Linked DNA regions of Pelodiscus sinensis. The protein of the gene in region 2 purifies or fractionates together with the protein of the main gene of each other region. This does not show direct contact. Links are inferred from orthologs where the notes say so. Each region holds a gene or a part of one and is shown on either strand. Other genes may lie near its edges.

The links. The genes of interacting proteins can lie anywhere in the genome.
Region 1: the proteins of HDAC1 (region 2) and KPNA1 purify together in Homo sapiens (affinity purification with mass spectrometry; 3 studies listed by BioGRID and IntAct, with this or other methods). This does not show direct contact. The link is inferred for Pelodiscus sinensis from reciprocal best matches to the Homo sapiens genes HDAC1 and KPNA1.

Annotation. Positions count from the first base shown.
Region 1 is NC_134711.1:138,989,271-138,996,812, forward strand, and holds the start of KPNA1 (importin subunit alpha-5), read left to right. Parts: upstream 1-4,437; 5' UTR 4,438-4,565; intron 4,566-4,581; exon of another isoform or gene 4,582-4,779; intron 4,780-7,542. UniProt on the Homo sapiens protein: Functions in nuclear protein import as an adapter protein for nuclear receptor KPNB1. Binds specifically and directly to substrates containing either a simple or bipartite NLS motif.
Region 2 is NC_134735.1:3,687,944-3,695,236, forward strand, and holds the start of HDAC1 (histone deacetylase 1), read left to right. Parts: upstream 1-4,220; 5' UTR 4,221-4,333; coding exon 4,334-4,382; intron 4,383-7,293. UniProt on the Homo sapiens protein: Histone deacetylase that catalyzes the deacetylation of lysine residues on the N-terminal part of the core histones (H2A, H2B, H3 and H4).

The DNA of each region.
Region 1 (7,542 bases), on a different chromosome or scaffold from region 2:
GTCCCTCTTGAGCACTGAGAATGAAATTGTCAAGTCTTTGAATTATGATGAAATCATTCATGACTTTGCCATAGTTACAGGTGGAAAAAATGTTTAAGTGTAGTGAGGGTAGAATACATGTGTTAAGTTTATGTAAATATGTATATAGATAAATGTTTGATGACTTCATAATTTTTTGCAACATACTTAGGCCCTTCCTTCCCATTAGCCTTAAGTCCCTCAAAACATTAATCCGCCCTGCCAGAGTTAAATGAGCTATTCAGAGCTCTAGCTGAAGCCAAAGCCAAGACATTCCCTTTAGGGTTGCCAGATGGCTTAACCAAAAATACTGAAACATCCCCTACCCAAAAAAAAACCTGGGGAAAAAATTCTGTTGAGGAAAATAAAGGGAGAGACCAAAGTTGTTGAGAAAAAAAAAAAAAGGACCCCGAGAGTTGTTAATTTAAAAAAAAAAAAAAAAGCATGGCCCCTTTAAGAAACGCATTTAAGGCTTTTTGGCTCTAGCAGGCTGCCAACAGCCATCTACCATCTTGTCTTCCTTCTCCGGGCCAGACTGCTCCCCTGCGGAACCAGGTAAGCACTCGGTATTTTTGCCTCCTGGCCAGGAAAAAAATCAGAAAATACCGGACATTTTAGGCGTCCGGTATTTTCCGAAATTTTTTTAATGGACAGAAGGTGAAAATACCGGACTGTCTGGGGCAATACCGGACACCTGGCAATCCTAATTCCCTTGTCTGTTTCACCAGTGGAACTCAATCCTGTAAGTATACTCAGAGTCAGCTTACAGGATTGGGGCTCTGCATAAAATATGGGTGAGGACAAGAAATCTGGGTATGTATTGCTTCAATAGGACTCACATATGCATTACTGAAATTCCAAATTCAGATCCCTGATCTGGAGCAGGGACTTTAATCCAGGCAATGTTCTCCCTAATCTTTTCCATTGATGTGCAGATTTTGTTCCATCCAGGTGCAAAATACATGTTTATGTGCACCAAGGCATGTTCATGTGCACTGATCCCAGGGAATGCTCTGAACACCAGTGTTGCTCTAGTGCAGGTGTGATGCACCCTAAGGGTACTCAGAATTGTGAAGCACCTCACTATCACCTGTCATTTGTGTGAGAAAGTTTTGACTGAGCCTGCCAGGAATCAGCTCCCCAAATCCTGTTATGGACAACACATATACTCTCTTCTAGGCCTCACAGGCCCCACTGTCCCTTTACAGGTTAGTGATAGGTACACTCCAATCTTCAAATCCTCTAAGCATCCCCTTGGATTGGAGAGTCCAGCTCTAGAGCCGCTGGACACTGATGACATTCAGATTCACTGTTTCCAAAGGAACAGAACTCCTCAATTTACCACTTTCACATCAGATCAATGCTCTGCTTAGCATATAGTGCTCAGATATATGTAGAATGAAAACAAGAAGCTTATTTAACAAAGGATTCAAATTGTAGCAAGTGAAAGTACTGGAAACAAATGAGTAAATTAAATCATAATGCACATTCTAGAACTTAGAAATCGATTACAAAGACACCCTCACGTAATAAATACAGCTCACCTTATGACTTTGCAGCGTGTCGCGAGAATCACAGGTCCGATAATGAATACCCAAGGGGGGAAGGACAGAGCCTGTGGCCACGCGGCGCATAGGGTTGCTGGCCCCAGGCACGTGGCTCATGGGGGTGTGGCATATGCACGGCCCCGCCCCCGGGTGTGCAAGTGTCCCTGCCCTCTGGCACCTGGCAGGCGAATGGCCACGCCCCCTGGCACCCGGCAGCTTCAAATGGTTGGGGACCACTGCCATAGGGGTTTCTTGATCAAGAAATTTATGTTGACTGTCTACACTGCCCTCTTGTGGAAGAGCTCTTGCACAAGAGGGCTTATTCCTCTTGGGGAGAGGAATAACTCTTCTAGAAGAAGTCCTGTTTTCTGACACTGTACTGTAAATTTACAGTGTAGACAGCAGGCAAGTTTTTGTGCAAGAAGGGCTGTTCTTGTGCAAGAAGCTGCCAGTGTAGACATAGCCTGTGTGTCTCCTGTTGCCCTTTGCCAGTTGGCACCAAAGGATTCCTGGGTCATAATAGAATAGTGATAGAAATGTAGCCGTGTTAGTCTGGTGTAGCTGAAACAAAAAATAGGACTATGTAGCACTTTAAAGACTAACAAGGTGGTTTATTAGGTGATGAGCTTTCGTGGGCCAGACCCACTTCCTCAGATCAAATAGTGGAAGAAAAACTGGCCAGTGGTTAGTTAATATAAAAAGAAAAACATATTTTGTACCATCCTCGCAACTTTAAACAAAATTCCTTGTATTCTTGAATGCTGCTTGCTAAAATTAATAAGAGCTGAGTATATGCTGCCCTAGCAACCTGGGATATTATTTACTTTCTGCAGGGTCTCATCCTGAGCAGCAGCTCTGGCAATCACAGTCTACATTTTGTCTGAGACGGGGCAGTTTTTTAAAGAAATAGGGTTGAGTAGTTCAAAAATCTAGCTTTGTATTTTGCACCCCTTTTAGTCAAATGCTTTAGTTAATTTCTGCAGGCACCAAATCTCTCCCAGCTTTGTATATAATTTGTAAATTATACATGTGTAGTTGCAAAAAGAATCTGTGTACTCTTGGAGGCTGGGGTGTTTGCCAGGCTTCTTTTGGCAATGGCAGTAAGTGATTATGACTGAATGCACTCTTGTTGACACACTCAGCATCCTACTGCAACAACTGTTATGAAAGATATGCCTTGTGAAGTATCATTTGAAAATTAATAACTTGCTGGTCAATATTATGGTGAAATGTATGTAGCAACATTATATGTAGCATTATGAATTTCCCCTGTATGATATTACCACAAAAGTTGTTTAACCGGTCTAAACTAATCAAAAGAATGTGTTTACCTCAATTTGTATATATGTAGTAAATACGGTTATTGAGACTGCTTGAAGGGGAAATAGCAGCAGACAAGGCAAATCTATATTTCATTATATAAAGAGAAGAAACAGCATGAAACTTCCTTCATGGAATCCCCAGACTCCAGGTTTCGTTCTTTACCTTTTGCATAAACTTTGCTTTCAGGGTTAATTCTCAGAAGAATCCCATTTCAAAGGGCAACTGGACTATAAAAGTGAGAGGCAAAAAGTCCCCCAGTACATTTGTCCCTCTCTTTTGCTTTAGAAGACAAAAGAACCATACCTGGGACTTAATGGAGATGCACGTGTGAGAGGAAGGATCCAGACTAGAGAATTTGATCACACATATTACTGGCAACACGTGATAAGGATCTTACCTTGAACTAAGTCTAGTTTAAGTTTTAGTTACTAGAAAGCATTTCATCTTTATTTCTCTTGTAAACGTTTCTGTCTTTAATGTCACATACTTGTACTCACCTTGTACTTGTAGTTACATAAAATCTATTTTAATCTAAACAAATCCAGTGCTATGTCAAACTAAACAGTGTGGTAACTCCACTTAAAGTAGCAGATTTGAATACTAAGAACAGACCTCTACTCTCTGGACTGTCTGGAGAAGGTTGGACACTGCATAGCATACATTTTTGGGAAAATCCAAGGCAAGGAGTGTGTTGGGGTTACACTGCAAGTAATAACCAAGGATAGTGGAAGCCAGAGTGCAAGAGGGTTGGGGGCAGGCAGCAGATACAGAGACATGCTTGCAGGCTGTTCACGAGTGATCCAGGTTGTGAGCTACAACAGCAAAGCCCTAGGAGGCACCTTAGGTTGCAGGACAGGCAACGACACAATCACTCACTGCCCTGGATTGCATTCTGGAATATGATAGCAGTTAATGGTCAATTTCAGACAACACAGGCCTCCTATAAATAAACGGTTCAGCCTATTCACTGCACTACAGCCTCAGCCTCTTCCTCCAGCTGTGTGCGCTGCGGGTCGGGTGTGGTTATTGTCACAACACCGCAGGGCTGGCGCCTCTTTCCCAACCCGCTGCAGCTAGTTCCCAAGCTCTCCCGGCTGCGGGGCCAGGAAACGCGCGTAGGCTCCAGTTCTCCTTGCGCGGGGGAGGGGTGCAGGTTCTGGCACCAGGCGCAGGCTTCCTAGGAGCAGCTCGGCGCCGCCTCCCCCCCCCTGTGATTCTGGGATAGCAGGCGGCGCGCGCCACCAGCGGCGAGACGAGGCGCGGCACAATGACGCAGCCCAGTCCTCGCGCGCTGCGCTCGCGCCCGGCCGGCCCCCGCCCCCGGCCACAGCGCCTTCCACTGCGGTTCATCCACTAGCCGCTAGCGCGTGGCCGCACAGAGGCGACGCGTTGCATTCTGGGAAGCTAGTCCTCTCGGCCCGGACCTTGCCTGTCGCGTGGAACGATCGGAGAGTATCCGAGCCCCACGCTTGGCGGCTTGCGGGGACTCTATCTCCCAGGGGCCTGTGCGGCGGGGCCGGAAACGACGCGTCGAGAGGACACACACACACACACACACACACACACGCGCGCAGCCGCAGTGAGCGCTGCAGCGGCCAGATCTGGGCAGGCGGGCGAGAGGGGAGGGGCGCCCGCGCGCCTCGGGCCCGAGAGGAGAAGCCGCAGGCCGGGCCTAAGGTACCAGAGCGGAGGGACCGGGCGCCGCAGCTGCCACTGCCCGGCAGGGCTGTAGTGGCCCGGAAGAGCCGAGCGACGGGCGTGTGGGGGTCTCGGGGCTGGTGCGGCAGCCGCTGGGGAGCGGGGCCTGGGCCGGGCGCTGCTGGAGCAGTTCGAGAGCCGTTGCACGCGCTGTCACCCTGCCCGTGGCGGGACCGTTGCCGGCGGCGCGCGCGTGAGTAGGGGCAGTGCCCTGCTGAGCGGGCCCTGGGGCGGGTGCTCGTGCCGCTGTCAGGTACCGCGTGCAGCAGTCGCGGTTCGGCCTCGCGTGCCCAGTGCCGTGTGTGGGTGGAGCCGTGATAAACGAGACCTGGCATTGTTGGGGGGAGGGGGGAGGACAGTCGTTGGGGTTTCAGCAGTATCCTGTGGTAAAGTTTGTGTTTAGCTCCCGCACGGCATTGGCTTGGCAGACTGTTAAGGATGTAACATTTCCAGATTTACACTTCTGTTTCAAGAGAAGCAGTTTTCCTAAATGTGAAGAAGTTTCCTTTAGCTTCTTTTGAGTTACAGGCTGTTAGCTTGGGCACTGAAGGATAGGTCTCAATTCCCTGCTGCCATTTAATGCCAAAAACTCTAGGTTTTTTACTTTCAAATAGTTTAACTTTGAAAAGATGAATTATTTTGGTGAAAGTGAAGGAAATCTGCTTTTACAGAATGAAGTGGTGCAGCTTTTTAAAAAAATGCAATATGTGTATAACGTTTTTTGTCCATATATTTGTTGACATGTTCAAACTCTTTCTGGATTGTTAAGGAAAAATAGCCACCATATGTGGCTCACGTTAAGATGGTTTTGAGAATCACACACCTCTCACCTTGATAATTCACCCTTCAGAGTTAGGTTTGCATGTTGGTTTCAGAACTCACCATAGAGAGAAACAAGGTTGCATTGAGGATTTTAAGCACAACAGTGAGAGTGCATTAAATGAATAGAAAGATAAAAATATGACACAGAACATAAATATTTGGAGCAATATTCTTCAGCCTTCACAGCTGATAGTTTCTTTGCTCAGACTTCAGTTTCCTGGCAACTTTCATAGTGAACATCACTTCTTTTGCTTTTGTCGTTGTTAATCATGCAAAACACTTTAGGAAGTTAGTCTTAGCTGGAGCCATAATACAGTAGAAGTAGTCTTGAGTTGAGATTCCCAAAACCCACAGTCCCACAATTGAGAGAGAAGGTTGTTTTGGTTAAAAAAAACAATAGAATGGAAGTGAAGGCTATGATACAAAAATTATATATAACAAATGGAAGGTATGAGAAGCTGAGAGGAATTGTAGAAAATGCCAAGGAATGCAAGGAGAATCCTTTGGCCTGCAGAGTTAAGTAAGTACTTAAAATATATGAGGAACAAAAATAATCATGACAATGGTGTTGGTCCATTACTAGATGGAAGAGGTAGAATAGTAATGTGGAAAAAGTATAAGTGCTCAATAAATATTTCTGTTCTATCTTCTGTTTTACCCCAAATGTAGTTGGACTGTGATAACATTTTTTTCCCTTCCATTGGTATCTCTGGAGAAGGGATGTGAATGGTTAATCAGTTAACTGATAAGGTTTAATGTGTGAGTTTTATCAGTTTTGGTTTACTAGTGGGGGCTTCTGTGGGCTGGAGCACTCCAGACCGACCAGAGCAATGCCTATCTGTGGTGGGCCCAGCACATGCGCATTGTACACAAGGGCTTTCTGGCTGGCTGTGGCAGCCTCTGTGGGGAGCGGATGGAGGAGAGAAAGGAGGGGGTGCTCCAGTACCCCTGCCAGTCTAACCACCCCCCCTTCATCAGGTAAACATTATTAAACATTACATTTAATCAGTTAACTGGTTAACCAGTTAAACAGGATTTTACATCCCTACTCTGGAGGATGTTAAATTAGATATTTATAAATCGAAGGCTTCAGATAAAATTTTAAAAGAACTGGCTGAGGAGCTTGCTGAAGTGTTGATGGTAATTTTTTTCACAGTAACTTAACAGTGGCAATACTGGATTAAAACAGTGGCCCATATAGCCAAGTATCCTGTCTTTTGACAGTGAATGATACCAGATGATTCAGAGGGAAAGAACAGAAAAGAGTAATTATTGTCTGATCCATCCTTGTTGTCTAGTCCCAGCTTCTGGCAGTCAGAGGTTGAGGGACATACAGGGCATAGGGTTGAGTCCCTGACATTCTGGGCTAATAGCCATTGACTGACATATTCTACAGGAATTTATCTGATTGTTTTTTCAACCCAGTATAGTTTTGACCTTCACAACATCACCTGGCAATGAGATGCACAGATTGACTGTGTTGAAGTAATATCCCTTATGTTTTTTTTAAACCTGTTGTCTAATAATTTCATTATCTGACTTCTGGTTTTTGTTGTTTGAAGGGATAAAAACTTTCCTACTCATTTCTCCAATACCATTCTTTGGTTTCGTGAATGACCAGACAGTGATGTGGCAGTTATGTATTGTTTTTAACCAGGTACCCCCTGCATTACATGTGCAGGTCTGTTAACCCTCCCCTCACTCACACCCACATGCAGTTGACACAAGCAATAAAGCTCCTGTTCAAAAATCATTAGTTTCTATTTATGAAACCCAGGCAAAAGAGAAAGAAAAGGAGGTCAGTGTGTGAGTCTTGCAGGGAGGAGGTGGAGGGCACAATGGCAAGTGGTTTATTACAATCCCCCTGTGTAGCAACCTGTTTGTCTTCTTATATTTAGTTGTGCCCCGTTGATGTGGGTGAATAGCATTTGCTCATGAAACATGTTATCCTATGTCATGTTTTTTAGCTGTCTGATCTATGATAGCTGAAGTGCTGCAGGACTTAGGGGAAGTGGGTAACAGACTCACTGTTGCAGCTGCATCGAGGGAAAAAATGAAGGACAGGCTTTAGAGACAATACCTTGTAGAATGCAGAAGCTAGTCTTTTACCTTGAATGAAGCTCTGGGGTATACA
Region 2 (7,293 bases):
GCAACATAACCCTCTTTGCGCCAGAGCCAGACGGTCTCCGGGACACCCCCGAACACGACCCAGTGCCCACGAAGCTGCTGCTCCCTGCCCTGCGCTCTTGCTGATTTTCACTGTGAAACCACATGACTCTGAACAATGCCTGTCACGCGATGGGGTGTGCGAACAGAAAATAAGCACGGCCAAACTGGGTCAGATCAAAGGTCCATCTAGCCCAGCATCCTGTTTGCCGACTGGGGCCAACGCCAGGTATGAACCAGAGGGAATGAACAGAACAGAGAATCAGCAAGTGATCCCTCTCCTGTCGCCCATTCCCAGCCTGACAGAGGCTAGGGACACCATCCCTGCCCACCCTGGCTAATCGCCATTGATGGACCCAGTGCTTTTTTTGTTTTAAAAAAAAGGTGCTGGTACTACAGGGGAAAAGTTGTTGAGCTCTGACTAGAGGGGCCGGTACTGCGTCTGGAGGTGCCAGTACTGCATGGCAGTACCATCCCCAAAAAAGCATTGGCTGGACCTATATACTCCATGAATTTATCTAGCTCTTTTTGGAATCCTGTTAAAGTCCTGGCCTTCCCAACATCCTCTGGCAAGGAGTTCCACAGGTTGACTGTGCGTTGTGTGAAGTATTATGTAAGAACGGCCAGACTAGATCAGACCAAAAGTCCATCTAGACCAGGATCCTGTCTTCTGACAGTGGCCAGTGCCAGACACCCAGCAGGAGTGAATAGAACGGAGTCATCAAGTGCTTTCTCCATCACTCATTCCCAGTTTCTGACAGAGACTCGTGACATCATCTCTGCCCATCCCATTCTCCATGAATTTATCTAGTTCTTTTTTGAACTTCCTTTTGTTTGTTTTAAACCTGCTACCTATTCCTTTCATTTGGCGACTGCTAGTTCTTATGGTATGGGCACAAGTCAATCACTTTTCCCAGAGCCCTTCCAAACGTTTGGTAAAACCGCCACCAAGTGCAACCATTGTAGCCAAGGGAGAGAGGAGCAAACCAGCAGGCGGAGAAGGAGACATTTCAGCTCAGACTGCAGCTGACCTGATGAGTCAGGGAGTGTGGAGAGGTAGAGGAGGCTGTTTCACCTGGCAGGAGCTGCAGAGGTGAAATCTCTTCTGTTTTCTCCGCACCGTTGACCGTGACATTAGTGCCCTGAAAAGGGGATCGAGACAGGCTCAAACCACAACATTTAGCTCCAGAAGGGGGGCTCAGAATTCGACCCCAGGCTGGGCTGGCAGGTGGTGGCTCTAGAGTGGACCCACACCTACCCTCGGGGGTTCTACATAGTCCCCCAAAAAGGCTTGTGGGAGAGAAACCTTCTCAAGTCCCTGGAACGAGCCTCTCTGAATGACCAGCCTGTGAGGACTCTGATCCCCCCCCTGCCCTTGTATTTTAAAGCCCTGTCTTGTGTTGCTCTTTGATTTTCAGTAAACAAACACCTTTCGGTAAACGGCACCCGTGTCCTCCACTTGAGGGGGTGGGAGGGGGCGAGCTTGACATTGGGTGTATACAGAGGTGGAGGGGGGGCTCCTGGCTCTCCTTGAAGATGCCGAGCGGCAGAGGAGTGGCCCCTCTCTTCTGCCGCGGGGGCCAGTCGTGCAAGACCGTTCCAGTGCCGCGCGGGCGGGATCCGAGCCCCGGGCGTGGGTGGATTTATTTGTGTGGGGTGGGTGGCTCAGCACGACACAGAATCAGGCCCGAAGCAGGGCGATGGCTGACCGCAGGGAGCTGTGTGTGCTCACAACCTCACAGGGGGAGCCCAACCGGGCCAGGCCCCGAGTCAGGCCCAGTGGGATGGGAGTGAGGGCGCTGGGCGGGGGTGGGGGCCTGAGGAAGCATTCGGCAGAGGGCGAGGGGCACACTTGGCACTAGCTGGGGACGGGCAGGGGGCTCAGTTGGGACAAACTTAACACCTAGCAGGGTGAGAGGGGGGACTTCAGACAGTGCCCAGTAAGGGGTTGCTGGTGTCACAATTTCTGGCAACCTCCGCCAGTAGTCACCCTGTGTGATCTATTTTAGGCTTCAGGCTACCAATTATCACCTCTCTATGGTGGAGACCTGCATCTCATCCCTTCCTGTCCAGGGATTTTAAACTACACTGCTCCCTGGCTTACATATTCCCAGCAAGCCAGGCTGCCTAGCAGGCCAGCACACTATGCTTTGCTTTCTCTCTAGGAACTAGGCCCAGTGTATTGCCTAGAGGTGTAGGTAGGTTATCACCCAGTTCTGGCTAAGCCAGCACATTTATTCTTAAGGTAAAAGCACTACAGTACAGCAAAAACACATTAATAAAAGAAGCTATGTGCAAGCTAGAAAGTCTGCTAGAGGTCACCCCCTCCCACTCCAGCCTAAGGCTCTGGCAGGAGTCTGTCCTTCAAAATCCACAACTGAATGTTTCCTGCAGTTACAAGTTCATGTCCAGAGATCCAGAACTGGAACCTAGGCTGGGCTGATCAGCTGTGTCTGTATGCTGCGCTCACCTTTGCGCTTGGCCCTCTGTAACAGGTCAATCCACAGACACTTACCCTTTCCTCAGAGGCTACGTCTACATTGGCAAGATTTTGCGCAAATAATTTTAACACAAGAGTTTTTACGTTAAAGTATTTGCGCAAGACAGCGTCTACACTGGCATGTGCCATTGCGCAAGAGATTTGCAAAAGCATCCATGCCAGTGTAGACGCTCTCGCGCAAGAAAGCTCCGATGGCCATTTTAGCCATCAGGCTTTCTTGCGCAAGAAATTCATGTTGCCTGTCTACACTGGCCTCTTGCTCAAGAACAGTTGCGCAAGAGGGGTTATTCCTGAGCAGGAGCGTCATAGTTCTTGCGCAAGAAGCGCTGATTTCACACATTAGAATGTCAGTGTTCTTGCGCAAGAACTCCCTGCCAGTGTAGACAGACAGAATGTTTTTGTGCAAAAGCGGGTGTTTTTGTGCAAAATCATGCCAATGTAGACACAATCAGGGTGTAAAAGGCTGTTTTTTGCATAACAAGGATTGGGGAATTTGTATTAAGCTTTCCCTAGGGATTCCCAGGAAACCCACTTAACACATATTGTCTCCACAATTCATGTTTGTTCAGCTCATTTTCAATATCGTCTTTTGAACTCCCAAGTGTCACATTTCTCTCTCTCTCACACACACACACACACACACACACACACTGAAACATATTTTGGGGGGATTAACAAAAAAGTCTTGCAAGGGTATAGCACAACTGGCATGTGGCAGAAGCTGTGGTGACACTGGTCAGTCCCTAGGTGAAAGAGCTGGGTTGTGACATGAACAAATAGCTGCCTCATTTGCACAGACTAAGGTGAGGACAGCAAGTGTGAAAAATCAGCTCACTTTTTTCCACGGGTGCAGGGGATTGTGTATTATTGAAGCATCTGGTGGCGATGGTGGTCCCCTGAATGCATCCCCCCACCAATGTTCCCTCTAATCTTTCCCATCCATGTGTGGATTTTTTCCATTCATGTGTGGAATACATTTTATGTGCATCACCAGTAGAAACAAAACAACTAGATCTGGGTGCTCTGCTAATCAGCTGGGCAGCACTGGAATCTCTCCAGAACAGCTGCGCAACTGCCCATCTTACAGAGACCACTGCCCCCCATGACCCCAGCCCTACCCCCACCTGGGGCAGACATAATGTCCCCTCCCCTACAGTCATGCTGGCCCCAGTGCATTCTGGGACTTCTGCTACCTCCAGCCCATTGCAACCAGGCCTATGGACATGCCTGGCCCCTGGGCGGTGCACTGTGGGCTGGCCCTAGCAAGGGACTAGAATCTAGATGGGAATGTCTTGTGCAGCCATGTGGCACGTGATGTCATAGCAGCAGGGGTCAAGTGGTTTAGTCCTTGCTGCCCAGACCACCCCTCTTGTGAGAATAGGTCAGTCCTTTCAGCCCAGATTCCTCTCCTGGGGGAATGATACATTTCTGTCTGAACTCCCCTCCCATTCTCTGAGGAATGGTACTTTTCCTTTATCTCTCTCCCCCTCTCCCCTCCACCAGTGGTAAACTCCTGTCTGTTTAGACCCCCCCTTCTCCGGGAGTGGTGCCGTCCTGCCAACCCGTTTGTCTTTTTCTCCCCCTTCTCTAGAGTGGTACAGTCCAGGAACACTTGCGCTCTACCTACCGTGCTAATGCCGCCACCCCGACCTACGTCACTTCTCATTGGCTATTCCTCAGGAAGTGGGTACAAGCCACTCCCCGATAGGCCGGCTGCCCCGCGCGGGGGCGGGAGGAGCAGCTCGCGGGGTGCTTGGCCCCCGGGGCGCGTTCGGTTGCGCTGCGGGAGGGTTTGGTGCGCTCGGGCGGCAGGAAAATGGCGCTGACACAGGGGACCAAGCGGAAAGTCTGTTACTACTATGACGGTGAGAGCCCCGGGCCGGGCCCCGCGGGGAGACACGGGGATGGGGGGCGCTGTGGGGGGAGGGGCGAGGATGGGGGCGCTGTGGGGGGAGGGGCGAGGATGGGGGCGCTGTGGGGGGAGGGGCTCGTGGGGGAGGGGTGGGGATGGGGAGCGCTGTGGGGGGAGGGGTGGGGATGGGGGGCTCTGGGGAAGGGCTCGTGGGGGGAGGGGCGAGGATGGGGGCGCTGGGGAAGGGCTCGTGGGGGAAGGGGCGAGGATGGGGGGTGCTGGGGAAGGGCTCGTGGGGGGAGGGGCGGGGATGGGGGGTGCTGGGGAAGGGCTCGTGGGGGGAGGGGCAAGGATGGGGGTGCTGGGGAAGGGCTCGTGGGGGGAGGGGCGGGGATGGGGGGCGCTGGGGAAGGGCTTGTGGGGGGAGGGGCGGGGATGGGGGGCGCTGGGGAAGGGCTTGTGAGGGGAGGGGTGAGGATGGGGGGCTTTGGGGAAAGGCTTGAAGAGGGAAGGGTTAGATGGGGGGGTGCTGGGGAGGGGCATTGGGGAAGGGCCAGGAGAGAGGTTAGGGATGAAGAGGGTGCTGAGGAAGGGTCTAGAGGGGTGAGGATGGGTGCATACTGGGGAAGGATCTGGGGTTCTGGGGAAGGGTAAAGAGGGAGTGTTGGGAAAGGGCCTACAGTGAGGGGAAGATGAGGCAAGGAGGGGTGCTGGGGCAGGGCCTGGGATGGGGGCAAGGAAGAGGAAAGGAGGGTGTGGGAGAAGGCTCACCAGGGGGTGAGGATGAGATGCTGAAGTGCCCTAGGCTGCTGGAGAAGGGTCTGTGGGGAGGTGTTAAGATACTTTTGAATACTTTCGGATCTATACTGGTAATATCAGTCAGCACAGTTGCTTTTTTTTTAGTTGGTGAGATTCTGTGGCCAGGGTTATTGTGTAGGCATTAGGTATGGCGGGCAGTGTTTTGTGTGTGTGTTCATTCCATGACATTTCCCCAAAAGTTGGGTGTTACCCTGGTTGGAATTTGGCCAGGGCAACAGGGCTAATTCAGTGGGAGAATTGGCAATTGCTTCCTCTTATTGTGGGGCTAGGAGGTATTTGTAGCGATCATTCAGGCATCTTAGTATGGTTTATTTAAGTGTTCTGCTCCATCAAATATATATCGGGGCTTTTATTTCTTCAATACAGTACTTGCAACATTAGGCCCTGGTTCCAAAATGAGATCCACTCCTGCCTGGGCACAATGCCCTACTGATTTCAGTGGAGTGCTAGATGGGGGTCAGCCCTGGCAAAACTTGTTGCTGTCTTTGGTTCGGCCAGTTACCATTATACCACAAGTCTGACTTCTCTTGTCACCAACAGCTGATCTGTGCGCTTGAGGCATGTTAGACATAAAATCAAAATATTTGTGACCCACATTAATGCCCCAAGGTTAAACTTTGTGCATCCTTCAGGGTTCCTGGAAATACAGGTTTCTGGTGGTGATATTTGTGGGAATGCTGTACCTGTCTGAGTGATTGTCAGATGGTGAATGAAAGCTCTGTCTGGGGTTCTCATTGCCCCTTCAGATGCACAATATTTGCACATGTATTCACACACAGGTGATGAACTAGGGTTTTGTCATCATGGACACAAAGGTGACATTTGTGTTGGTTTTTATTCATTTTGGTTTTTACACCATGATGATAACATGGCCTTAGTTACAGCATTGTAAAATACAACGTGGTGATGAGGCATTTGTAATTTTATCACAAGGTAGTGAGGGAAAGTGAGTGTTATAGCTCCTCACCACCTGCTCATGCTTAACCTAACAATAAAACTGTGGTGCTTGGTTTCCACCTGTTTGGTTCAGCAGGATAGGTAATGCTTGGAGGTCAGTAAATATAAAGACTAGCATGCTGGTAGAGTACAGTTTGTAATAGCGTTTTAGGGGATGTCTACGTAGTGTTTAAAAAAAAAAAAGTCTCTTGACTTAGGTTGTTTGGATTAAAATAGCAGTGAAGACCTGGCAACTCAGGTTAATAGCTCAAGTCCAGCTCCAGACTCTCTGTAGACTTTAACTTGAGCCCATAACACAATATAAAAGCAGAGTTGCTATGTCTTGACTGCTATTTTAACCCGGGGCATGACAAGTAACCCAAATTAAGAACACACCTTTTCTGCAGTGTAGACATGCTCTTAGAGGACACCGAATTCCCACTGCTTATGAAAAGAAATGGTAAATAACTTGGTTTAGCAAAATAGACTTCAAGATAGACTGGCCAGTTCAAACCACTTGTAAGTTGCACGTGACCAAGTTGCAAGTTTCCTGGACTGTTATTAATGTGGTGTTTAAATATTGCTCTCTACCATATGTTCCCTAGCTAGTCCCTAAAGTAACATAGGACTCCTTGTTATTTTAGCATCTTCCAAGTCTTTTGGGACTTGTTAATGCTTGGAATTAACCTAATTCTCAGTGTTGGTACCACTGCATCAGCATTAAGTTCTATTGTAGACAAGGAAGGCCGCGGTCTCCCCCAGTTTCAAGCAGATTAAAACTGCACCAATGCAAATTGTGATTTTTCTCTGTCTACACAAGGAGAAATGTAGCGAAGGCTTCAGTCTTTGCAGGGGCAGTGAAAATTACTCCTGAATGTTGAGATCCATGATGAAACATTATATACTCCCAACTGAGTCACTGCTAGGCCAGATTGCCTCTCTTACTACTTAGGGTGGTTTGGGGTTGTGAAACTACTTGACTCTTATTTTTTGTCATTGTTGAGTGTGAATCACCTATAGGATAGGCCTGGATGCACAGGAAAGCACTGATATACAAAATCTTATTTTATGATCCCAATTATTTTAGTTCATCTTCACAGTGCATTGCAGGCATTAACTGTGTTCGCGCCATGTGCACCGGTGAGATAGGAAACAGGAAGCATTGCCAT